7 linked regions of the Nothobranchius furzeri genome follow. The protein of the gene in region 2 binds, or shares a complex with, the protein of the main gene of each other region. Links are inferred from orthologs where the notes say so. Each region holds a gene or a part of one and is shown on either strand. Other genes may lie near its edges. The genes, in order: e2f4, lin9, rbl1, mybl1, rbl2, lin52 and tfdp1a.

Region 1 (2,941 bases), on a different chromosome or scaffold from region 2:
TCTTTACATAAAGTCTACTGGCTTAAATAAGTTAAAGTTCTTCTTCTAAAAGTGGTTGAGAGCACCTTGATGCCAACGGTTTTGGTTAAACGTGACAGAAAATCCACCGCTCTAGTCATGCAGGAGAGAACAGTTTGTTGGGCCTGGTGTTGGTTTTCTAAATATCTGTCTGCATTAGAAATGCTGTTAATAAGCCTCGTGTGCAGGTAATACAAAAAATATATTCTCTATGTACAAGAGGACAGTGCATATGTCACCAGCTGACTCAGCGAAACTATTCAGCTCCTGACCGGACTGAAAAGAAGGATCTGTTTTTATTCCTGGGGGATGTCCGACACGATTTCAGAGAAGCAAACTCTCTCACACACACACACTCACTCACTCACTCACCCACCCACCCACCCACACACACATTCAGGCATATGGGAAAGCTGACACGCAAGCATAATTTTTTTTGTACACGAGAATCCAAAAATATAATTCCGACTCTTGTTTTTCCTTGGAAAAGTTGTAAGTAAAATGTTTTGTCCTCGTCTTTGTTTCTGCGCTCCCGTCTGAACTCGGCTGGAGCTCTTTTTGCCGATGCAGCCGAGTCCTCGGAGCACTTCCTGCCCCTCTTCTAGTCTTCGCTGTCGGAGAAAACAGGGCAGGAGGACTTGAGGAGAATGAGGACAGATAATCATATTTGGGTAACAGTTTTTGTTTAAATCAAAGGTCAAAGGTTGAGAATGGGCACATCAAAGAGGTCACAAAGACCTTCTGTCTCATCCAAATTGTAAATGTAGTCATGATCACTGGGAGGAGGGGACAGACGAAGGAGAGGCGAGAACACTGAGGGCGAAACACAAACAGGAATTACACAAAGACAGTTTGTTCGTGATGATGTTGCTGCTTTGTCTGTAATCATATTCACCTTCTGATGACATCAAGTCCTCCAGCAGGTCTCCACTCATGATTTCTTTCAGAAAAACAAAGTAAATCCATATTTACCAGCTGCTGCATCCCGTGAAATACTTTCTATTACATGTAGAGACGCGTGTGACTGAATTTACGGTTTAAGAAGGGCTGAAATGGTTTACCTTTAGTTGGATCAAACATGTCTGAAAGCTCTTTGGGAAAGTCCAACACTGAAGGGAAACATTTCAGTAAAACGGTTGCAAAAACACTTTTTACTAAACTTTTCTGAAATGTAATCTGCAAACAAAACAATCAAAACTTATTCTGAAATGTCCTTCACAGCTTTAGAAGAGCCCGACACTCACATTCAGATGGATCCGACTTCATTGGTTCAAACGCAGCAGAGACAGAGGACGACGCGGATCCGTCCAAAGAGGCGGATGACTGTAGCTGCTGAGGAGGAGCAGCAGGTGTGCGTGATGCGGGGCTGAGAGGAGTGGTGCTCGGCGCCTCTGAAACAAAACCAGAGACACAACGTTAATGTGAGAAACTCCAGAGGGAAGTGAAGAAGCAGCAGAAAATAATTCACTCGGTAAAAGGCCCGTTTCTGTATACAACCCCCCAAGGCGCTTCACAACACAATCAGTCATTCACACGTTCACACGCTGGTGGGGATGAGCTACGATGTAGCCACAGCTGCCCTGGGGCGCACTGACAGAGGCGAGGCTGCCGTACACACGTACCACCGGGCCCTCCGACCACCACCAGCAGGTAAGCTGGGTTAAGTGTCTTGCCCAAGGACTCAACAGCAGCATTCTCTGGTCGGAGCCGGGATCGAACCTGGAACCTTCCGATTTCTGGACAACCTGCTCACTCTACCTCCTGAGCTACTTGCTTAATCACTACATGTGCAGCAGTCTCTAGTAGGAACAAATGCCTTTCAAGTCGTACTCGGGGGAAACAAAGCTCAGATGCGCTTGTTTCAGGAACTAGCAGAATGCTACATCAAAGGAGAGCTTAACGCGACAGGAGTCTTACTTCCTGATATGTGGACATCTCGCCTCTGATTGGATAACAGCAACACGACTCTACCACTGACTCTGGCTGCTCTGCAACGTTGATGTTTTATCTCCACAAATAACACAAGCCTGAAGGAGTTCTGCTGTGTGGTGGAGTTGCTAATGCTAACGGTTAGCTTCTACTAGCTGAGGAGTTATCTGCCGTTTCCTGGACGCTAAACCAACAACAGCCTTCCCCGTCGTGAGTCCAGATGAGTGAATCCATGAATGTTAGTGACAGGGTGACGTAGATTTGTCAGGATTTTCTAATCCAAGAGCCGTGGTACTAAATTACGGACCTGGAGGGCCGGTATCAGCACGTCGTCCGTTTTAACTGTTTTAACAAACTGAATTCAATCAGCAGGAAACTAACAGGCTGCTGCACAGGTGGTTCAAACATGCTGGTTAGCAGCTCTCCAGGACCGGGACTGAGAACCACTGTCAGACGCTGATGCAGGACATAGGTGTAGGAGACTTTTTTCATGTTCAGCTTGCATGGAAAAACTCAGAGTGACTGATTATGAACAAAAATAATCATCAAAAACGTTTTTCAGTGAACTACACCTTTAAAACGTTCCCCACCTGTTGTCGTCTGGTTGGCTGCAGAAGCTGGTGTTAAGGCAGGAGCTGCTTTTGTGGCCGTGTCTGGAACTCCTTTGGGACCCTGGAGGGGAAAATGGAACAGAAGAAACGTCAGCATTGCACAAAACGCCAAATGTAACGAAGGAGACTATCGCTCACATTTAAATGGACACCTTACAGTAATCCTTTAGAATAAATTCTATGTTAAGAAATTTCTGTAATTCATGGTAAAGTAAAACAAATGGCCACACACTTGAAATTCAAAGCAGAAGGTTTTTTCCCATCTTAGCTGCTTTTACTGAATCAAAACTGTGGCCTTAACATTAATTAACTATTTTTTACCAAACTTGAGAAGTTTGAACGTTTGAAGAGAAAAACCTGACCGTTAAATACGTTTCCCATCA
Region 2 (3,500 bases):
TTAATTTACGGCCCAAATCCAACAGAACCAGTCGGGCTGATTTGGTCTCAGGTTACAACTCTAGCGCTCAGCCCTGCAGTACCACATTAAGGCGGAACCACTTGGTAAATGTGGATGACGCTCACTCTGACAGATTTGGATGCTGCGCTGGTGCTGCCATTAAAACAAAGCTACATTCCACTCTAATCAATTATGGCGTACTCTTTTACGATGCAGAATCGTTTATGTCCGCATCCTGATGCATCAATTATTTGATTATTTTCCTCAGCTCTAGTAAACACGGGCAGTAAGTTTTGCTTTTTGAACAAAATCAGCTGAGATGGCAAACATGAGCTTCTTTCGGTTAGAGCTGAAGCTCAGATCACCGGAGACTGCACATGGACTGTGGAGGATAGAACACTTTAGGAGCGGGTTGTTAAAAAAACGATCGTGGCTTCATTCGCAATAAAAAGCAAGTTATGTTCAAGATAAACAGAAATCTGCGGCATCTCAGAGATCGCCCCATACCTCCTTCATGCTGCCATCACCTAAACTTTTATAAAAAAAGACACAATGGTGCCACATTACCACCACAGTCTGACCACCTATAAACAATCTAAGGGTCCCTGATGACGCCACGGGGGTTGTGGCAGAATGACGGCATTATTTTGTAAAAACCCAGACACCCTGCATAGATTTTTTTTTTTTTTTGCTGCTTGTATCCCTGCAAAATCCCATTAATCATCACATACTGGTGAAATACATCTCCGCATCCGACCCATCCCCGTGGGGAGCAGTGAGCTGCAGCAGTGGCTAGAGAACTCTTTGGTGGGTTAACCCCCCCCCCCCCCAATCCAACCCCTAAAAGCTGAGTGTCAAGCAGGGTGGCATTGGGTCCCAATTTTAAAGTCTTTGGTATGACCCGACCGGGATTTGAACCCTGATCTCCCAGTCCCAGGGCCGACACTACCACTAGGCCACTGAGAAGGTGAGAAGACGAGGATGGGAATGTAGATCGACTGATAAATCTATAGCTTGGGCTTCTGGCTCAGCTCTCTCCTCACCACGACAGACCGGTACAGCGCTTGCATCGCTGCAGATGCAGCACCAATCCGCCTATCGATCTCTCGTTCCATCTTTCCCTCACTCGTGAACAAGACAGATCATTTGTGAAAACTACAAACTAGCAGACACTTACTCTGTTTCTATAATTTCATTAGTGGAAAGGATTTTCTATAGACTTTTTTTAAACAAGTCATATAAAATGTTGCAGAATCATCAGTACATGTGAAACTGGTGATCTTACCAGTGACTTTTGTCCCTATGATGAGTGGCAGAGGAATTTCATCAGGAAGGTCTTTGCAATTTGACACATCTGACAGTTTCCTCTGCTGCAAAAGGCGCATTTTTTGCCGCTTCTGCCTCAGCGCGGTTCTCTCTTCAGCAAAGAAAGCCGATGAACACCTGGATGTGTCGACAGAACCAGAACTGTAACATCGACCGGCTTTGATCTGAGGCTTCAACATTCAGGTGAAACACACGGGGAACAACAAACGTAGAGACCACCGCGTACCGTCGAGGTTTTCCCATCAGCCTCCTGATGGTTCCCCACTCAACTCTGGTCAATTTTCTTGTTTTCAAATTGGGAAAAGACTCCTTGAGGCACAAGCAGAACTCATTGTCACCTTCAAACAAAGGTCTGGAAGAAAAAACAACAAATTTATTTTGAAAGTGCAATTAAACAAGACATTAACTCGTGAACTAAATTGTTTTGTACATCTAGGTTGACTTAAGTTACTATAAATGTACCTGGAGAATAAAACAGACCAACTCAAATATGTCTGTGTGTAAATGACCAACATCTTCCAAAGTGAGACGTTACCTGTCGATATTGGAATAGAACCATTCATAGATGCACCATTTGTGAGCTTTGGGTAGTTTAAGGAGGTTTCTCAATCTCAGCCCTATTTTCTGTGAAGCCTTCTTATCTGGTGTCATGATGTTTGAAAACTTCTGCAGAGACAAATGCAAGACAACCATCAATGCACATGCAGATACACAAGAGCCATGAGGCCATAAACACAAAAATCAATGATGCAATTAAAGGGAAACTATGTAGTTTTGGCTTGCTTTTAGCACCCCCTGGTGTCCAAAAGTGAAACTCTTCTCACTGTGCGTTAGTGATGAGATTTATGGCATTTCATGGCAGTCATTCTTTAGTCGGTCATTTACCTCAAAGAGCCGTTCAAAAGACTGGCTCCTTTGAATGAAGCGAAGCCATCAGAGCGTGTGTGTTTGTGTGTGATAAGAGCAACATGGTTGCAGCGGTGGAAGGGGGTTAAGCGAGCGCGCTTTGCCGACTTTCGGGGACGTTCGTTACCACAAGACAAGATGAACGGCTCTCTACAGTAGAGCTGAGGAAAATAATCAAATAATCGATGCATCGGGATGCGGACATAAACGATTCTGCGTCGTAGAAGAGTACGCCATAATCGATTATGGTGGAATGTAGTTTTGTTTTAACGGCAGCACCAGCGCAGCATCCAAATCTGTCAGTGAGCGTCCTCCACATTTACCAAGTGGTTCCGCCTTAATGTGGTACTGCAGGGCTGAACGCTAGAGTTGTAACCTGAGACCGAATCAGCCCAACCGGTTCTGTTGGAATTGGGCTGCGAATTATGTTAATTGAGCGGGTCGTCATGCGGCGCGCTCCGCTCGCTCGATCAACGACTGAGAGAGAGAGAGAGAGACACTGTCTGCTCACACAAGAGAGAGGATCGGAGGACGCTCCTCCAAACCGATGCTCCAAACACGCATAATTATTTTCATAATTTAATTATTGTTTCTCCTGGAAGCGCTCAGTCAGACCGAGTGTTGTGATGCTGGGAGATCCGGTCTTGGGGAGGGGGCGGGGTCAGTGATGGCGGCTGCAGCGTGGTCGTCTGTCTCTTTAATTTAGGGACACGGAGAAGTTAAAAGGAGAGCGAAATAGAAGATAGAAGTTCTTGTTCCACTTAATTCTTTTGTTTCATGAAGATAAAATGATGTTAAATTCAGCTTAAAGAGAAACTGGGAGGAAGCTTTGGTTCATTTTAAGTTACAGGAGATCTTGTCTTCTACCTGCTCCTCCAGAGACAGCATGGAGGGTTACATGGTGAGGGTCCCACAGGACAGCTTAGTGGAAAGGTTTGTAGTTAGCTGGTTAGTGAAGGAGATCCATCAGCTGGGTAATTTAATCCTAATCCAGCCCACAGCCTTCTGCTGGTGTTATTATCAGCAAGAATAAAACACACATCTTAAATATTATTGGAAGTGTATAATTAGTTTGATGTTTTATTATTTTCTGCATCAAACAGAACTTGATTCCTGCTCCAACATTTCAGAAATGAACCACTGGGTTCAAATAAAATAAACTAAGTCAAACATTTCATTTGGTGTCATTTCTGACAGACTTGAACTGCAGCATAAATATTTGACTCTAGAGCTGCTCAGAGACATTAAACACTCATTTATGAACCCAT
Region 3 (3,500 bases), on a different chromosome or scaffold from region 2:
ACACGAACAGAAAATAAACAATAAACAAAACTTTCAAAACAATCTTTATGAATTTATTTATTTTATCCATTACTTGATAATCTTCTAACCTCCTGCTATAAAACACCTCCACGCTCTCTTGTTTAGTTTATGTTCCTCTGATTTGTTCAACAGAAACATACAAACAAAAAAAGGTTAAATAAGGAGACTGACTTGAAGATCTGGACCAGGTTCTCACTGGGGGACGTTCTTAAACCGGCCACCATGCTCTGCAGCCGGCTGACGCTCTGCGTGGCCAAGGAGACAGGAGTTACGAGCAGGTCCTTCTCCTTCAGGTAGACCCGCCCGGTCAGAGGGGTGGACGGGGCCAGAGAGCTGGACTGCACACAAGGGAGGAGATATTATTTAGTCTTTGGTCCTGTAAGAGCTCCTTAAACCACAACATTCACGCCGTTTCTTGTTCGTTAGCTGAAGAAAGCTACAGAACAAAATGCTGAAAACCATTCCTAGAGATTAGGCTCCAAACGGGTGTGATTTAAACATCAGTCCTGCAGATCTGGAACAGCAACTCACCCCCTGTTCTACACATGCTAAAGGCAGCTAAACATGCTAATTTGGACTCCATAACCCGTAACAGAAGTCCACAAAGTCAAAGAGCCTTTCAGCAACAAGAACTTTTAGCTTGTAGCATAAAGAGAAGATTAACGGAAAACAGATGTGACTGTTTTTGTCCCACTCATCAACGACTTTCCTTTCAGAATGTTAAACAGCTGCAGTCGGCTGATTTGTTTCATCCAAGCTTTTAGCATTAAGAGAGAAAAATTTTAAAGTTTCTAAAGTGCCGGCGATATATAAAGAGAGATCTTCGGAAAGCGAACAGAACTTCAACTCAACACCACCTAACAATAAAGGAAGTATAATAAACGAGGGCCGAACATCTCCATCAGGTGATGGTGGGACCTCAGGGATCAGCAGTTCCATGTTAGTGTCTGCACCTTCTCCACGTGTTGTTGCAGCTGGTTCTGAGCAACCGTTTGGCTTGCAGTGCATTCCTGAACAATCTTCCTCGGCGTTCCGATTTCCTCATCAGCATCCGCTCCCAGGAACACACGCTCATCAAAATCTCCCACCGTCAGCACATACTCCTCGTACTCCCTGTTCAGGGCCTTGCTGCAGACGACAGCACACAGACAAAACAATCATTCACTAAAATAATTTATTTACTGCAGAAAAAACAAACACCAGAAGAAACTTCACAAGGAGACGGAACAATACGTATCTTGTTGCTTACTTGTTGTCTATGAAGTTCTGAGGATCTAACATTTCAGTCAGAAGGTCCTTGTTTCCTTTCAAAATCTGATTTACGCACAAAGAAAACAAAAAAAAAAATTTTAAACTATTTTTCAAAAACAACACAAATCCTGAGTATCAGCCGATATTTTAAAGTGAGGAAGATGTGCACCTGTTTCTGGAACAGTTTCTGCACGAACGGTTTGAAGTAGTGCTGCTTGATGCCTTTGGCCTCCACCACCAGCCCATCATGCAGCTCACACAACTTCTCCAACACACAAGGAGGAGGCTCGCCTCGAGAAACGTGGCTCTCGGCACGAAAAGAGGGGGGCAAACCTGCAGGAAGTCATGTGATCATGCCAACACTCATCAAGCAGTGTAACTGTTCTGCTGTAGCGAAAGGAAACAGCTTCTGCAAGAGGAGGAGCTTCATCCAACACAAATACTAAATCTGGCATCAAGAGTTGAAAGAGTTTAGAAGCTTCATCTGTGGCTTCATGCACAAAGATCTGGATGCATTTTAAAGATCTCCTAATGTGGAAAAGGTGGAAACTGAAAGAGGAGCTCAAAGTTTTACCTCTGAACACGGGGTTGATGAGATCCTTTCTGTTTGCACACAGAAGAGTGTTACCAAACACCAAGTCCAGGCAGCACAGCAGCAGGTGGTACGAGTTCACCAGGTCGTCTCCGATCATACGAAAGTTACCTTCAGAGACGCAAAACGCATAAATCAAACAACAGCAAAAATAAAATCCCACCTTTCTACAACAAGCTGATTCATTGATGTTTAGATATAACAAATTAGCTGTTTGTGAAGTTAAAGTGTCAAACTCAGCAGTAAGATTCTATAAACATGAGATATTTTGCAGATACATCAGCTGATTTGCTGACTCCAAGCAGAAAAGTTAAAGCTACGACTCTAAACGTGCAGCCCGAGTCAGTCAGCTGTTAGGTTTTATTCTTGGTACCTTTAGTGTAGACAAACAGGGTCCAGCAGAACTTGAACACATCACTGATGTGGCAGGGCAGTCGCCTGCAGTCAGAGGTAGGAGACAAATATGCCGTTGTTTAGTGACTCTGTGTTCCACTTTTAAAATTAAGGCACTGTTTGTGATTTCAGTCTGACCGGTGTGTGAAATATAATCCCCAGTTTAAGCTCATCCTTGTTCAGAATCAGAAAAGTTTCATTCAATGTTTAAAAATAGAATAAAGTTGAAAGAAAAGGCTTAGGCAGGGAGTAGCTAGGGGAACTTTCCACGTGAAGAAAATACATAGTTCTTGGGAATGTAGGGTCTAAAAAACCGTGCGTGCGCGTGTGTCATGCCTGTGCTTCCTGCTGCGCGGCTGACGTGGCGGATCACATCCCTGTGGATTCTGAAACAAGTCCATGAAGATGGGCTCAAACTTGCGAAAGATCACAGTGGAAACCTCAAAGTTTCGCTCCAGTCGGTCCATTCGCAGCCTGAAGTCCTGCGAGAGGTTGGACATGTCGGTCCACTTCCTCATCTTTGAGAAGAACTGGATCAGACTGTAAACAAGACAGAAAAAAGAAACATTAGGGAGCCTTTCAATGTATTTTACTAAGTGTAAAATGAGGGCTGTTCCGATCACCCCCCCAATCCAAGTCCGAGATTTTGAGTATCTGTCGATTCCGAGTCCCGATCTAATTCTTCGGCAATGCATTAGAAAGGAGAAAGAAAGAGAACACATCCAAGTTGTCTAATGTGTGGCTGTAATAAGCAATGCATGTTCCTGTGACTGGGCAGTTACGTCCCAATGGCAGGTTTGGTCTTTTCTGCAAAACACCAGAGAGATGCGTTTGTAATGATGAGAAGGAAACATACCGCACCTCCAGGAGACGCTAAAACCAGACGTTCGCAACTACAGACTGCTTTTTTATGTTTTGCTGAGACCTTTTACTCTTCATAAACAATTCTCTTTGCTTTTTACTACACACTTTGATGTTTGCTGGCTTCGTGTTTTGTCCGACGCATTGCTGTGAACTCCGAGTAATGAGCTCCATTTGGGGTGTTTGTCTTTAAGCTGGCAGAATAGAACTAAATGCAGACAGGTGATTAACTGCTGGGAACCCTGAAGAAAAAGACGGTTGTTTTTTTAAGAAGCTGTATCAGATTCACAGTGTTGAATGCAGTTCTGTCACTGTCTGAGCTGCACACACAACTCTTATGTTCCTGTCACGCTTTGCAGCTGATTTTCAGAATTTATTTATG
Region 4 (3,395 bases), on a different chromosome or scaffold from region 2:
GCAGATATTTCTTAAATGTGCTTTTTAACCCTCCCACTGTCTTTATGGGTGATCCCGTGAGGAAAGCTGACCATCGAGCAGGGTTGGTGATTTATCCCTTGAGGTCAATGTGGCAGGGGTGAGGTGGTGCTCACTCCTCACCCCTGCCACATGGACCCAAGGGATAAACCATCAACCCCGCTCAATGGTCAGCTTTCCTCACAGGGTCACACCCATTAGGACGGTGGGAGGGTTAAACAAATTTTGACTTGACTAAATAGCGGTTTGTTACATCTTACATCCCTCATGAACTGACAATATAAAACTTCGTAAAAGAATAACTTAAGAACCGATTTAGACTTGTTCTAAATTGAAAATGTGTCGACTTTCTTTCAAGTTTGCATAGCTGTCTGGTCGTCAACAGCCTAGTGAGATACTGGACAAGGAGAACTTAACACACCTTTTCACAGCCAAACGGGAGAAAATCAAGCAGCAGTAACTAACATAGACAGAAACACATCTAAAACACATAAACAAGAGCTACATCCTTCAAATGAACTTAAAATTTTTATTCAAATGAATAAAAAGTGCAATTTGTCCATGATTAGAGGTCGGAGATGGTGTCCTGCTACCTAACAGCGACATTTAATTTAAAGGTGAGGAAAAAGCCTCATCTATGTTACAACATCACTCACATATCTACAACATTATTTTCTACATCTCGTACGATCAAGAGAAGTTCAAATTAAAATGAATGGCAGTGCAGGAAAATGAACTGTAGCCCAATCCTGATTTTAAAAGTGAAAAGATTGATAAAATTCTTCAATAATTCTTCTTAAAGGTTTTCTTTTTCAAAGAAATAAATAAATAGTAAATAAATAGAACCTACAGCCTTCACATGAAAACTATAATCCTTCTCAGCCAAATGCTTGATTTTTGTGGTATGAAGTCAGAATGAATCACCGGGACTGAAAGTTGAAAAATAAAAGGTAGCAATGCTTAGAGCAAGAGAGTTTTTAGGCTGTTTTGTCAGCAGTTAGACCTTATGTTGTCTGATTTATATTAATATCTAAGCTTTAAAAACTGAAAAATAAATAAAACAATTAGAAATAAACAATAAAGTACCCTTCCATGTTTGAGGTTCTTCCATTGCAATGAAATACATTCAGCTGATTTTTTTATGGCCTTGGAAAGGAAACGTTGTGTTGTTATTCAGAAGTGCTATCCAGTCTGCTCATAAAAAATAATAATAATAATCACGCTCCTTCCTCAGCAGCAAAATTATCTCAGTAGTGCAATACTGACAGAAAACATTCCCACATACTGTTACAACAACCACGCTGCTGTTTTTTTAATGAAAAACAATGATTGGTGTTGTATTTAAAAGTGTGATTTAGTGTGATTTTAAAAACGGCAGCATGAGTGTTGTTTTTATCTCATAACAGCAACGGGGCGAGACACACCAGTATCGTTATGTCGGCTTTTAAATAATATGTTAAAATACAGTGGGGCAAAAAAAGTATTTAGTCAGGCACCGATTGTGCAAGTTCTCCCACTTAAAATGATGACAGAGGTCAGTAATTTACATCATAGGTACACTTCAACTGTGAGAGAATGTGAAAAAAAATCCATGAATTCACATGGCAGGATTTTTAAAGAATTTATTTGTAAATCAGGGTGGAAAATAAGTATTTGGTCACTTCAAACAAGGAAAATCTCTGGCTCTCACAGACCTGTAACGTCTTCTTTAAGAAGCTTTTCTGTCCTCCACTAGTTACCTGTATTAATGGCACCTGTTTGAACACGTTATCTGTATAAAAGACACCCGTCCACAGCCTCAAACAGTCAGACTCCAAACTCCACTATGGCCAAGACCAAAGAGCTTTCGAAGGACACCAGGAAAAGAATTGTAGACCTGCACCAGACTGGGAAGAGTGAATCTACAATAGGCAAGCAGCTTGGTGTGAAAAAAATCAACTGTGGGAGCAATTATCAGAAAATGGAAGACATACAAGACCACTGATAATCTTCCTCGATCTGGGGCTCCACGCAAGATCTCATCCCGTGGGGTCAAAATGATCATGAGAACGGTGAGCAAGAATCCCAGAACCACACGGGGGGACCTGGTGAATGACCTGCAGAGAGCTGGGACCACAGTAACAAAGGTCACCATCAGTAACACACTACAACGGCAGGGAATCCAATCCTGCAGTGCCAGACGTGTTCTGCTGCTGAAGCCAGTGCATGTCCAGGCCCGTCTGAAGTTTGCCAGAGAGTACATGGATGATACAGCAGAGGATTGGGAGAATGTCATGTGGTCAGATGAAACCAAAGTAGAACTTTTTGGTATAAACTCAACTCGTCATGTTTGGAGGAAGAAGAATACTGAGTTGCATCCCAAGAACACCATACCTACTGTGAAGCATGGGGGTGGGAATATCATGCTTTGGGCCTGTTTTTCTGCTAAGAGGACAGGACGACTGATCCGTGTTAAGGACAGAATGAATGGGGCCATGTATCGTGAGATTCTGAGCCAAAACCTCCTTCCATCAGTGAGAGCTTTGAAGTTGAAACGTGGCTGGGTCTTCCAACACGACAATGATCCCAAACACACCGCCCGGGCAACAAAGGAGTGGCTCCGTAAGAAGCATTTGAAAGTCCTGGAGTGGCCTAGCCAGTCTCCAGAACTCAACCCCATAGAAAATCTGTGGAGGGAGTTGAAAGTCTGTGTTGCTCGGCGACAGCCCCAAAACATCACTGCTCTCGAGAAGATCTGCATGGAGGAATGGGCCAAAATACCAGCTACTGTGTGTGCAAACCTGGTAAAGACCTATAGTAATCGTTTGACCTCTGTTATTGCCAACAAAGGTTAAGTTACAAAGTATTGAGTTGAATTTTTGTTATTGACCAAATACTTATTTTCCACCCTGATTTACAAATAAATTCTTTAAAAATCCTGCCATGTGAATTCATGGATTTTTTTTTCACATTCTGTCTCTCACAGTTGAAGTGTACCTATGATGAAAATTACTGACCTCTGTCATCATTTTAAGTGGGAGACCTTGCACAATCGGTGGCTGACTAAATACTTTTTTCCCCCACTGTATAAGTCTGAAGCTACTGATCAGTATGAACTACGTGACCTAAGCATGCGTTAACAGTACCAGCAGCCGTGCCTGTATGTGGACGGTGTTTCTGCTCCGTGGATTGTCTCCCACGGGGACTTGGTGGACGTTTGAGTCGGATGTAATGCTGCTAGCTGAAGGGGATGGCCTTTAAAGCACCAGAGCCCTTGAGGTAGAGCCAGACGATGAAAAGGGGTTCAGGTACTGACGAGCCTGTTCTGTCATGATGAGCTGGTCCTCAGTCTTCCCATAAACCACTGCTTCCCACTCACTTACCTGCAGAGGAAGAGG
Region 5 (4,080 bases), on a different chromosome or scaffold from region 2:
GCGCGGCGCTCCAGCAGTAATGAGTTGAAATCACCGGGGCACAGATTATGAACTCAGCTGAGGCAAAGCACGTCAGAAAAGCACAAAATACCAGAGAACATGCGCTGATATGAACGATCGCAAGTGAATTATTTTGTTTTAGTGGAGCGATTTTGTGAATATAACAGCGGCCGCGTGCAGGACGCAGCTGAGCCGTTACCGCTGCGTCCTCTCTGCCCGCAAAGCTGAGTCCATAAATGACGTCATATATGCAGATACTGGATCTTTCTTCGGGTTTCCCGTAATTTGAATTTTTAAGGAACACGTCTTGATTCTGGGTTTAAAAATGCATTGTAATTACCGCGTTACTGACAATTGTACCGAGTAAATATTACCATTTTCTTTCCCTGTAATGCCTTACATTACCACATTACAGCAAAAAGCAATGCATTACAGTAATTAATTACTTTTGTACCGCATTACTCCCAACACTGCTTTTAACAGCTTCTAAAGATTGTTCCCCGATTTTGCAGCTATAATTGTTATATTTATAATTACAAAGTAAGAGAGACGTGGTTCGCATAATTTAGCTAATATCAGTCCACAATGCCGCAGGCTCGGAGTGAGTGTTGTGTGTGTGACGATGTCACAGATGGGTTCAGGTAGAGTTAGTAATCTCAGCGCTGATGCAAAGTTGGAGGGACACTGAGGAGCAGCTCCTCCTGCTGCAGACCTGACCCGGATCTGAACTGGTTCTGAGTCCGGTTCTCATTAAAACATGTCTGATTCTGGACCCTGAGTTAGTTCTGAGAGCAGTCAGATCTGTGTTATTGCCGTGTTATAAAGCACATGAATTAGACAGTTAGTTTTGTACATGATCTAAGTTACTAACCTCCCACAACAACGTGATGTTATTATTGTTTTCAGGCTAAATCTACCAAAGAAACCAGACTGATGTAGTCCTCCACCAGCCTGCACCGGTCCAGGCTAGAGCCTTGCAGGTGAGTTATTTTTAACCATCTGTCTCTCTTTACCTTGCAGTTTTAACATTATGTCATTTTAGCTTACCGTTACACACGTGTATTGCTGCTCTTAAACACTACGATAATATTTGCAATTTCTTTGTTTTTCCGTAGCCTCCCAGCAGCAGCGTGTCTGACACTGGGACCATGATGGGAACTCCACCCAGAGATTTGTCTTACAGCTAATTTTATTTGTGTCTTTAAATTATAATCTGATTTATGTTGTCACTCCTGGAAAGAACGCTGAATTACTTCTATGCCTGAAATGTGCTATACAAATAAAGTTACCTCGCCTAAGGAAAGGTCAAAGGTCATCCTAGTTAACAGTTCAATTCTGTGTTTAATCTATGGGAAACTAAATCTTGCAAAGGTGATTTCAGCCAACCAGACCCAGAACAGGAAGCAGGTGGACTCTAACGAAGGGTCGGAGGTCACGTGGACCCACCTCTGTTTGCGACTGCGATGGACCCGAAGCAGCTCCTCTGATGGGGTCTTGAAGATGGATCTGAAGATGGGAACGTACTTCTTGAAGATGACGGCTGAAACGGTGAAGTTCCGCTCCAGCTTGTCGGTACTCTGACAGAAGTCCTGTGGCAGCTTGGCCATGTCCTGCCACTTCTTCATCTTACTGAAGAACTCGATGAGGCTGGAAGAACATCAGAACCGCTCAGCAGATCCCGTCACATGACCTCCTAGCAGCCGAGTTATGGACCAAACACACAAACCTGATGTGAGAGCAGCGCAGGACTCTGGTCAGTGACACGTAGTTCCCCTCAGTAGTCCCCTTCCCCACCGTGGGCACCGAAGACCTGCAGGCCACGTAGAGCGCACAGGCCAGCCAGTGCAGCTCGCTGCCCTGCACACACAACGGTTCTGATTACTGCACCAGCTGGTTATGGGTTAGGGTATAGGTTCGGCATAGTGGAGTCACTAAAATGAATGGAAGTCAAAAGAGGTCCACATAAACATATAAATACAAGTGTGTGTGTGTGTGTGTGTGTGTGTGTGTGTGTGTGTGTGTATTTCAGGAAAACAACTACACATACCGGCCTAGGTCTATCTGCCTGTCTATTTAGTAAGAGAGAGGAGTATTATATTATTGTATGCATCTCCATCTCTCTACATATATCGAGAGAGAGAGAGAGAGAGAGAGAGAGAGAGAGAGAGAGAGAGAGAGAGAGAGAGAGAGAGAGAGAGAGAGAGAGAGAGAGAGAGAGAGAGAGAGAGAGAGAGAGAGAGAGAGAGAGAAAACACCTGAAGTCATAGCTCAGAAGAAACACCAGACCTCATTGGTGCTGCATCCAGAAAAAGGAGATGCGTGCATCTGCAAAAGGCTGCTGCCATGTTGAACGAGGCGGTTCCTGCTGAGTTGGAGACCTAGATGACATTTCATGTCAGACGTTTTGGCCCGAATGGACCGAACCCTCACCAGCACCTGCTTACCTCCAGAGTGAAGTTCCTGCTGATGTTCTCGTAGCTACTCCACGCTTCGGTACTCGCCTCTTCGTCCATGTTCAGAGCTCGGCACAGATCCTCGAACCTGGTTCGGATCTTCACAAGGCGCTCCTCCTCGTCGCTCATGTTCGTCTTCGGGACCGAACCGAACCGAACGGACAAAGCGCGCCTTTAGGGTGGAGCGGACGAGGCTGGCGCAGTTGTAGCGGCAGTAACGGCGTTATTACGGTGCTGCGCGGATCGGCTGTGTAGCCATTTAAATGTCCTCTGACAGATGCGCGAGCTGTGACGTTTTTGACGTACACAGCGCAGCCAACCACGGAGGGAACGTCACATGTGTGCGTGCATACGTTAGAGAATCGCGGCAGCAACGTAACTCACCCCAGCCCACTAAACTTGCGTAGCGTAAGCCAAATACAACTACTTCCGGTTGCTCTTGTTTTCTGACGTCCACCGAAACGCCATCAAACTTGATTGTTTTTAAAGCACGTGACCGTTAGCGGTGCTAGCCAACACGACTCAGCAACAAAGCGTGGCTCTGGTGCTCAGACTGGTTCTGTTAAGCTGCTCGTGAGTCCCTCATCAAGTGTTACATGTTTGAGGTTTGGCCCACAAGGTGCAGTAACAGCCTTTTACCAGTAGGTGGCGCAAGGAAGCCTGCAGAGAGCCGTGACGTCTGTTGTTTTATTTCAGCTAGGACTTTGTTTTAAAATGGGAAAATGTATTTTGTTTTTTTCGCAAGCACAGAAAGGAAGATGTATACTTTGTTATAAATTTGTTAATTATTCTAGCTAAATTCTATCTCCACAAATGCAAGTATAGTAACTAAAAACCTAATTTCAAGCACTATTATAGTGACACTCTATCTTACATAAAATTGATTAGTGGATCACTAAACAAAAAAGCTTTAAAAACTATAACTATTTGCACCACCTATAATTTATTTGGATGTGTGTAACATTTCTGTAGTGCACCCCCTGGCATATGTTTCATCTTTGTTCAATTTTGTATGCAATTTGTTTGTATACTTATCACCTTGTTCAATAAAGTTTTGAAAAAAAAGTCTGTTATTTTATTTTGTTTAATTGTGCATGCAATTTGTGTGTATACTCATCACCATGTTCAATAAAGCTTTTATTTAAAAAAAGTCTGTTATTTTATTTCCTGCTTACTCCTAGGCCCATCTGTTCAGGACTCTGGTACCGCGGTACCTATTACACACCAGCTAATAAGCCCTGGTTATTAAAGACTGGGTTGGACTAATCTTACTTTAGTGTTTATTTCAGGTGATGAGGATCAGTCAGGACGGGTCCAGACTGGTTTGTGCTTATGCACCAAACTGCTGCAGCCTATACCCACTTTTTTTGGAGTTCCTGGAGGAGGTTCTCGAGCGTGCTCTTTCTGGTTACTCCCTCGTTGACCTGGGTAGTGATGTGACATTCATGAATGAATCAAATCTTTTGAACGGGTTTTCAAAGTGAATGATGAGAGCCGAGACCCTGTAGAGAGCCGTTCATCTTAACAAACCTCTCTGGAAGTCGGTCAGACTCACCCGCTCAAACCCCACCCACCGCTGACGGACGTGGGAGGAACCATAGAAACATGTGTTTATATACATATCTCG
Region 6 (3,981 bases), on a different chromosome or scaffold from region 2:
CTGGAGGCAAGGCAAACAAATCATTTCTAAAATTAATTATTTCACAAAATGAATCAATCTGATTTCTGCAACATTAAAATATTGATTTGCTTTACCACCAAATGTAGATCACTCTGGGGTGATTTTTTTATTATAGATGAACATTTTCTTGTTAAAGTGGCATTAAAGTTTTATTAAACCTTCTACAAACTATTTATTATCATTAAAGAACCGACATCATGGCTGCCATCTACCCTGCTGTTTAAACTCACATTATTTTACACAATTTGCTACCATTTCAGTTTATTTACACATGTCGCTGAAGAGGAGGTGTACAACGATTCTCTTACGCTAGAAACATTAAAAACATTTTTATCTTCTTTTAGGATAATATCAGCACTTAGCTACATCTCTCTAATCCACACTCCAGAAGGATTATTACAATGGAGGCGGGAGGGAATGGATTAAAACAAGAGCTTGTGCATCCATCATATTCTTGAGCATTTGCTTGTGTGAGCTCTTGGTGGCATGCACTCATTTCTTACTTGTTTACATTTAACAAGACTGACCTAAATCCTTGTTTTAAAGATCTTACGGCCAACCTGTTTTATGCAGACTCTAAATTACAATTGCACTTTCAATAACATCTACTCTGATTTTGAATAATAAATAACATCCATGTGATTTTAGCCTATTTTGAACAAACAAAAAGTAAATCTGATTCTGCAACTAAACGTAGTAGTGGAAAGGCTACTAGCACCACCTGGTGGTGATAGACGTAAACAGCTGATTGGGAAAACTAAAAACTACACGAACACATCACAGCCTATGTTTTCATGTTGTTTGTGTGTTTTGTACTTACACTCCTCTAAACCCAGCTGGTAAGCCAGGTTCTGAAGTCCTTTGACCTTCTCCATCAGGTTAGCTGTTGTCAGACTACCCAGCTCTGCAGAGTGATTACAAGGCAAAGATTTTAAGCTCCAGTTTGATCAACTCAGTTTCTCCTTGACAAGATTATATATTTATGGAAACACTAACCAGTACAACAGTTTTAACATGAAACGCTGCAGGCACAGAGAAAATCTTTCTAATTAAACATATATTAAAAAAAAAAACAATTGTACCAACCTTTTAACATCTCGATGTCCTCGCTTTCCAATTCAGCCATCCACTTAGGGGGTGAGCTTGTAATGGGCTGTAATAAAAATAAATGATATTATACGGCAATGCCAAATCTAAATGATTATTTAATGTATTAATCTCAGTTAATGACAAAAAACGTATCTTACGTTTTTATAGGATGCAGCAAATTCTGCAACTCCGGGTACTGTGTGAGAAATGACAGGACAGATAAGGTTAAACTGTGGGACCATAAAGAAGCACAGAGGAGATGAAAACTTACACTGCTCAGGCCACAGGTCTGGTGACGCTCTGTCCAGCTTTTCTAAACTAAGCAAAGAGCTTTCAAAATCATCACCTGGCAAAGAAAAGGAAGTAAAATTATGTTCAGAATTCAGGCAGAAATTTCAGAGCTTTAGAACAAAATGTGATCTTCTTGATGTAAATACAAGTAAAATGTGTGACTTATGGACCATTCCCATCTGTACCGGGTCGGCCCGGGCCGGGTAGCCCCAGTCGGCCCCATCCTGGCCCGGTTGATTCCACACATCCTTGTCTTACGCCCATGTGGGCTGATTCTACCCACCAATCAGAGGCTTGCTCTAATGGAAGGTGTGAATTTGCTGTCAGCAGTGGGTGTGTTGGCCCTGGTCGGCCTGAAGCAGACCCCCTCGAGAAGAGGGCTGAGAATGAGCCTTGGTTGGTCCGGAAAAATACCAGGCCACCCAGATATGTAAACAACCAACGCTACCCGGCCCGGACCGACCCGGTACAGATGGGAATGGCCCATATGACTACAGCCAAACAAATGTCAAAATGTAACCACAACAGTTAATACAATATGTTGGCTGTATTAAAACAAAATATGTGTACAAGATAAATACTGATTAATCAGCTGTTCTTAAAAAAATTACTAATATTTGGGAGGTTTAGTTTATTTATCATACCTTTCATTTTTAAATGTTGCTTGATTCAAGTCCCTATACAACCATTTCTGCTAGGCTGTGACAACAACTGTGTGCTGATTATTCAAAAACTATTCTTAAAACCAATATTTAGTGTAACAATTTGTGTTAGCATTATGCTTCCTAATACATGACCCTACATAGTGTGTGTGTGTGTACATATATATATATATATATATATATATATATATATATATATATATATATATATATATATATATATATATATATATATATATAACCTTTCAAAAACCTTTCAAAATATGTTGATGTGAAACAAATAATGCCTCAAAATGTTGGAAAAATGTCGTAAATATTAATTATTAGGCCAGTATTTAACAAAGAGGCAACTCAAAAGCTAGTAGTATTTAAAATATCAGGAGTTACGGAAGGTCTGCAGCCAGCTGTCTACTGTTCTTCCTTGAACGTTGGTGGACTAACAACACCGGGGCTAGTGGAGCCTTCAGTCAAACAAAACCACCTCCGAGAAGTCGGACTACAACGCTGATATGTGTAGTTCTGAATTCTGGGTGTTCAGCTACATCATCAATACATTCGTGGAATAATTTGTGTGATTTAAAGTGTTAAATTTTACATTTTTTAACAGCGTATCTGTGTAAGGAATTAAAATTTACCTCCATTCGGAGACGCCATCTTCACAATAATCACGTGACCCGTGACAACGAATAGGAGTCAATGTTGACAAAGCCTTGTAAATTCACAAACACACCACAAGAGGTCACTCTTACACACCAAAGCCGTGTTCCTGGGGGTAAAATGAATAAACTAATAATTTTATAATAAGTGTCAGGGGCGATCCTAGCATCAGAGGTTTAGGGGTGCTAAGCACACAGCGAGTTCCATGGCCAGGCAAGATACATTTCAACATTTTGTACAATTTTACACAATTTCATTCCAACATTTGTGAAAGAAAAGAAAATCGGTGTTTTTACAAATAGATCTGTGGTTTTACATATCACAATCTATGTTGAACAGATTTTGCTATCTGTGTACAACAATTTGGTCCAAGTTCGAAGAGTCTGGGTCAGTGGTTCCCAACCCTTTTTCTTTGATGACCCAATACAGGATCTATTTTATGGTTTTTGGTGCAATATTTTCTAACAGTGAGTGAAAGTCCGTTTTATTTATTTCTTTTTTTTGTTTGTTTGTTTTATTCATTTATTTAGAAGTTCGATTCTGAACATTCTAATGTTAACAAGAGTTTTATTTGCTGCATTTTAAAGGGTGTACTTGCATTATTATGATATATTAAAATTATATAAGTGATTATTTTGGTCTCGATAATGTCAACAATAATATTGTTTATTGGCAATAATTTGTTGGACAATATATTGTCCTGCAAAATCTGTTATCGTCCCAGGCCTAGTTCACTTGTACAAACTACTTAAAAATTAAAAATCAGCAAATCTATTTTATTTTTCTGTGTACAACAAAATTTTAGCTATTAGCTATAGCTGGGGCTATTAGCAGTTAAAACAGAGATGGATTTTTTTTAAGCTTTATTAAAATAAGAGGCTAAATATTCTCTTCAGAATGTCTAAAAGGAACGTGCAGTACCAGATTTCAGTTGGAAATTAGAGTGTCGTTCTATTTATTGCCAGCGGAGCTAGCAACTATATGTGATTGAATTTTTGAAAAATCTAAAGAGGCTAAATATTCCCTTCTAAATGGATTTAAAAATCGGATGTGCAGTATCAAATTTCAGACACTAGAGGGCAGCAAATACTCCCTTCTTGTCTGCATGCAGTTGGAAACCTGTGTTGTTCTGTTATTTGCCAGCAGAGGGCGCACATTCTCCATTCTTTCAACGAAACAAGTGTTTTAAAAAATAGAGCAAGAGTTTCTACTAAGTCCGTCTTGTAAAAATCTATTTAGACAAAGAACAAAAAGAACCCAT
Region 7 (3,970 bases), on a different chromosome or scaffold from region 2:
AAGTCAAAAGATGGTTCAGTTATACCTTTGCTAGGGCTCAGATTCTGATCGATGAAAACCTTCAGCTCTCCATTTGTTTCAATCAAACCAGCCTGTAAAAGACAAAACTCATTATGCTGCAAATATAGAATATTAAAAATAATATAAGATAGTAGTGATGCAATAATGGATGCTTAAGTGTGCATATCTCCTTAAATTACACCAAATGGGTAATTGGATCATTTTGCAATTTGGGTTTATTGTCAAACATTAATGATGGTTTAGAATAATAGGTATGCTAAAACAACAAGAACCATCTCATCTGGCTACAAGATATAATGTGCATATGGATGAAAATATTGAGGGAAATTACTCACATCTTTAGCCATGATCCCAAAGGACCTGAAGGAGTTTAGTTCAGATTAAAAAATTGTTCCTTCTGTCACTCAAGTGTTCAGACCCCTGCAGAAGAAATGAAAGCTGTGAGCAAAAGTTTCAAGCTTCACTTATTTATAACATTTTCCTATAAATCCCCACGGCACAGATGGATTTGAATGAGCTTTTGCACTCATTTATGAACCCAGGCCCATTTCAATGGTTGGCTATGAGCACAGCACACTACACTAAGCTAATTCCATCATCATGTTTACTCCACTTTTTCCTCAGTTAGCAAAACAAACCTGGCGGAAATTACAGCTAATTGTACAAACCGCTGCGTCATTAGCCTTTAGATGTAAACACAAAAAAGCACAGTCAACCCTCACTTGATGCCCACAACTTTTACCAAGCTATGTGTGCACAAGGCCTACTTCAGGTACCGATCACGTCCGGAGGAGAGGCATCGTCCAACTTCTGCTACAGGTCACGAAAACGTGCCAACTTTGACGAAACTGTTGATTTTTCTCCACGGAGATTAAAATATAGTTACAGATAGTAAATCAGTCCACCACAGAAGCAGGTTTCACACCACATGTCAGTAATAATGAACAATCTTTTGTTGACTACAGCCGGCTAACCGTTACTGCTAACAGCCTGCTGCTCCTTAGCTTGCTAGTTAGCTTATGCACGTTTTCACACGATTGGCAGAAAATTCAGAGATTTCTGGTCCGAGCTGCAGATTATAGCCTTCTTTAAGTAAGAACTGATATTGGAAAAAAGCACTGCGCGTTTTGCACGATTAGAGGGGTTTAAATTGCGAATCCGTGCACTTACGAGTGCACTCTCTTGTCTCTTCGACGGCTGTTGTTGTTGGCATTAGAGAATGGAGGAAGAGGAGGTCTAAATCCCATCCAAACAGGAAACAAACTCAGCAATCCTAATGTACTTTTAAAACTATTTTATTCATAAATCAAAGTTATTCCTTTAAAGAACTTAAGCATATGATTAAAGAGTTGTTTTTCCTCAGGTCAGTTTTTTGTCGCTATGTCAAAAACTGATACCAGGATTTGCCTGTTGGTCGAGTCTGGCAGCTGACTAACCATTAAACATCATTCATCTCATCAGAGAAACTGATCACAAAAGCAAGCAAAATGAGCTGTACAACATTTTTGTCATGAATATAATGCACTAACCAGTTTTCAAGTTAAATTAAACCTAACATTTTAAAACTGCATATTATGGTAAATAAACAACAGTATGTTAACAGGTACTACATTTCAATTTAATAAACATACAACATAATGTGTGGATCAAGCCCATAGATTTGATCTACATTTCTTCTAAAAGGAGTTCATATTAAAGTAATTAAGTCAAAGAAGTGAATAAAAAACTATATTGACACCATTAATTCAGGGACCTGGGCCTGCAAAAGGAATCAGTTGAAATAGCAAATTTAATATATAATGTTAATCGGAAATAAACAAGTTATACAAATGTAAAGTAATTTTATATTTTGGGATTCCGCAATTATCTGCTACAACTGATCACATTCTCTTAAACGTTCTCAGTAGTTTTGATCTCATTCATGGGCCTCTTGGTCACAACAACCTAGTAAATCAGAACAAAACAAATCTAATTAATCGATATTTTAGCTTTTTGTGCAAAAAGTACACTTTTGAAAAAGTTAAAAACTTCATTGAAATGTTTCAAGCCAATTAATCACGCTTTAAATTTTTATTTAAATGAATATGTGGCTTAAACAAATAAAATTTGTTTATTTTAATTCGTTACAGTAAAAGAAAGTGAAAGCTCTTTCTACATTCAGATGAGTTACATATTTCAAACTTCATGTCTGCGGACTATTTAAACAAGTCCTGTTGCATATTCTGTTTAGTAAGTTATAACCGTGGTAATAGAAACCATGACAAGATCGTTAAGTAGATCGATGATCAACACTTCGCTAGTTAGCAACTGGTTATCAAAGCTACGAGCTAACTCGATATCAATGAGAAATCGCAACCTCCAGCGCTTTGTTAGCCCACTAGCTAGCCAGCAAGCTAACTACCAGCTGTCATCGAGAAAGTTTACCATTGTTAGCTTCGTGTGATATCAACACTTTTTCATGTCGACCAAGACATAAAGGCCGTTTAAACACTTGTATATGAGCTCTGGTCTGCGCCGGGTGGGAAGCCACCCTACAGTGGATGCATCTTACCAGAGCACTTCACGTTAGCACACCGTCAGCTAGCCTTTCCACGGCTCTCTGCTAGCCTGTCGCTTTCAGCAGTGCCTCTCACAATCTGATCTTGGCGGCGTCTCGCTACAGCGGCGTCTGATTGGACAACACTGGTGTGACGTAACCATAGCAGTGACGTGAGTCGTGCCCACAACCTACTTCTCCTGGGATTGGTGGAGAGCAGGCAGCTGCAGGGATGCATTTACCGCCATCTGTTGCGCAGGAGTAGGAGGAGGATTTTTCATTAGTCGCTATTATATCTACCAGGAATAGTTTTTAGGCCTGTCACTTTTATTTCCTCTTTAATTCGATTGAAAAAAATACCACACACCACACTGAATGATGCCAAATTTCAGCTGATATATCTGAATAGAATAGAATAGAATAGAATAGAATGGAATAGAATAGAATAGAACAATCCCACAGTAGGGAAATTCACTTGTTACAGCAGCACCAACACTTAAGAGAACAATTTGATTTAAAAAAATAACAAATACATTTGCATACAATGTATACAATTGGAAGGCTGCCTTTCCGTGTCTTGGCCCATCACTTGGTCAGATTATCAATGGGAGCCTCTGCACAGGTGTGGTCCCAGCTGCTTTGAAAGCAGCAGTTATTCGGCCGACCCTGAAGAAACCTTATGCTGATGTCTATGTGATAGAAAATTACAGGCCTATCTCTACCCTGCCTTTCACATCAAAACTGCTTGAGAAAGTCGTTTATCAGCAGCTGGTCTCACATTTAGCTGACGCTGATCTGTTTGAGGTTTTCCAATCAGGGTTCAGGTCTGGCCATAGCACAGAGTCGGCTCTACTGAGGGTCCTAAATGACATCTATCTATCACTAGATCAGGGTACATCTGTGGTGCTTCTGTTGTTAGACCTGACGGCAGCCTTCGACACAGTTGACCACGCGATTCTACTAGATCGCTTGGAACGATGGGTTGGGATCAAAGGGTCTGCTCTGGATTGGTTTGGATCTCCACAACAGAACATTCTGCGTTAAACTGGGTGATGTTTTTTCTTCTTGGGAGGGGCTCCGCTGGGGGGTCCCGCAGGGATCGATCCTTGGTCCTCTTTTGTTTGCCATTTATCTGCTTCCTCTGGGGTCAATCTTTCGTAAACATGGCCTATCATTCCATCTCTATGCTGACGATTGCCAGATTGATGCTCCATTGTGTCAGGAGAAAGGTCACTATATCCAGTCCTTTGTGTCCTGCATTAACGAGGTGGAGTCTTGGCTAATGGCCAACGTTCTGCATCTGAATGAGGGAAAGACAGAGCTCATTGTTTTTCACCCCAACAGCAGGAATGTGGATCGTCATGTTGATCTTGGCCCTCTTTCTCCCTACTCAAAACCAGTTGTCACCAGTTT

Evidence for each region.
Region 1: lin9 (region 2) and e2f4 share a complex: the UniProt entries of both Homo sapiens proteins name them as parts of the DREAM complex. The link is inferred for Nothobranchius furzeri from reciprocal best matches to the Homo sapiens genes LIN9 and E2F4.
Region 3: lin9 (region 2) and rbl1 share a complex: the UniProt entries of both Homo sapiens proteins name them as parts of the DREAM complex. The link is inferred for Nothobranchius furzeri from reciprocal best matches to the Homo sapiens genes LIN9 and RBL1.
Region 4: lin9 (region 2) and mybl1 share a complex: the UniProt entries of both Homo sapiens proteins name them as parts of the DREAM complex. The link is inferred for Nothobranchius furzeri from reciprocal best matches to the Homo sapiens genes LIN9 and MYBL1.
Region 5: lin9 (region 2) and rbl2 share a complex: the UniProt entries of both Homo sapiens proteins name them as parts of the DREAM complex. The link is inferred for Nothobranchius furzeri from reciprocal best matches to the Homo sapiens genes LIN9 and RBL2.
Region 6: the proteins of lin9 (region 2) and lin52 are in contact, whole or in part, in a crystal structure (PDB 6C48), measured with the Homo sapiens proteins. The link is inferred for Nothobranchius furzeri from reciprocal best matches to the Homo sapiens genes LIN9 and LIN52. Residues at the interface, in NP_001353174.1 of Homo sapiens: Leu335, Gly336, Phe338, Phe342, Leu343, Ile344, Val346, Thr347, Leu349, Ser350, Lys351, Leu353, Met354, Lys356, Lys357, Ile360, Leu363, Arg364, Asn367, Thr368, Ala370, Glu371, Lys374, Ile382, Phe384, Gln385, Tyr388, Ala389, Val392, Leu395; in NP_001019845.2 of Homo sapiens: Asp61, Met64, Leu65, Leu68, Gly69, Leu71, Thr72, Thr73, Leu76, Met77, Val80, Leu83, Gln84, Leu86, Ala87, Leu90, Asp93, Glu94, Glu97, Met98, Arg100, Gly101, Leu104, Asn105, Ile106, Leu107, Glu108, Pro110.
Region 7: lin9 (region 2) and tfdp1a share a complex: the UniProt entries of both Homo sapiens proteins name them as parts of the DREAM complex. The link is inferred for Nothobranchius furzeri from reciprocal best matches to the Homo sapiens genes LIN9 and TFDP1.

What each region holds. Positions count from the first base shown.
Region 1 is NC_091744.1:86,777,043-86,779,983, forward strand, and holds the end of e2f4 (transcription factor E2F4), read right to left. Parts: intron 2,620-2,941; coding exon 2,538-2,619; intron 1,410-2,537; coding exon 1,263-1,409; intron 1,128-1,262; coding exon 1,080-1,127; intron 959-1,079; coding exon 914-958; intron 832-913; coding exon 716-831; 3' UTR 501-715; downstream 1-500. UniProt on the Homo sapiens protein: Transcription activator that binds DNA cooperatively with DP proteins through the E2 recognition site, 5'-TTTC[CG]CGC-3' found in the promoter region of a number of genes whose products are involved in cell cycle regulation or in DNA replication.
Region 2 is NC_091742.1:4,995,661-4,999,160, reverse strand, and holds part of lin9 (protein lin-9 homolog), read right to left. Parts: intron 1,993-3,500; coding exon 1,862-1,992; intron 1,679-1,861; coding exon 1,553-1,678; intron 1,444-1,552; coding exon 1,286-1,443; intron 1-1,285. UniProt on the Homo sapiens protein: Acts as a tumor suppressor. Inhibits DNA synthesis. Its ability to inhibit oncogenic transformation is mediated through its association with RB1. Plays a role in the expression of genes required for the G1/S transition.
Region 3 is NC_091743.1:73,531,970-73,535,469, forward strand, and holds part of rbl1 (retinoblastoma-like protein 1), read right to left. Parts: intron 2,798-3,500; coding exon 2,594-2,797; intron 2,303-2,593; coding exon 2,238-2,302; intron 1,976-2,237; coding exon 1,847-1,975; intron 1,606-1,846; coding exon 1,442-1,605; intron 1,336-1,441; coding exon 1,271-1,335; intron 1,150-1,270; coding exon 975-1,149; intron 360-974; coding exon 193-359; intron 1-192. UniProt on the Homo sapiens protein: Key regulator of entry into cell division. Directly involved in heterochromatin formation by maintaining overall chromatin structure and, in particular, that of constitutive heterochromatin by stabilizing histone methylation.
Region 4 is NC_091747.1:51,681,174-51,684,568, forward strand, and holds part of mybl1 (myb-related protein A), read right to left. Parts: intron 3,381-3,395; coding exon 3,255-3,380; 3' UTR 1-3,254. UniProt on the Homo sapiens protein: Transcription factor that specifically recognizes the sequence 5'-YAAC[GT]G-3'.
Region 5 is NC_091744.1:80,482,516-80,486,595, reverse strand, and holds the start of rbl2 (retinoblastoma-like protein 2), read right to left. Parts: upstream 2,801-4,080; 5' UTR 2,583-2,800; coding exon 2,445-2,582; intron 2,379-2,444; exon of another isoform or gene 2,326-2,378; coding exon of another isoform or gene 2,287-2,325; intron 1,858-2,286; coding exon 1,727-1,857; intron 1,648-1,726; coding exon 1,447-1,647; intron 1,239-1,446; exon of another isoform or gene 1,116-1,238; intron 981-1,115; exon of another isoform or gene 907-980; intron 1-906. UniProt on the Homo sapiens protein: Key regulator of entry into cell division. Directly involved in heterochromatin formation by maintaining overall chromatin structure and, in particular, that of constitutive heterochromatin by stabilizing histone methylation.
Region 6 is NC_091758.1:32,967,772-32,971,752, reverse strand, and holds the start of lin52 (protein lin-52 homolog), read right to left. Parts: upstream 2,801-3,981; 5' UTR 2,718-2,800; coding exon 2,699-2,717; intron 1,457-2,698; coding exon 1,382-1,456; intron 1,307-1,381; coding exon 1,269-1,306; intron 1,175-1,268; coding exon 1,108-1,174; intron 926-1,107; coding exon 842-925; intron 1-841.
Region 7 is NC_091754.1:25,779,668-25,783,637, reverse strand, and holds the start of tfdp1a (transcription factor Dp-1), read right to left. Parts: upstream 2,801-3,970; 5' UTR 2,573-2,800; intron 1,317-2,572; exon of another isoform or gene 1,192-1,316; intron 911-1,191; exon of another isoform or gene 764-910; intron 442-763; 5' UTR 369-441; coding exon 357-368; intron 93-356; coding exon 26-92; intron 1-25. UniProt on the Homo sapiens protein: Can stimulate E2F-dependent transcription.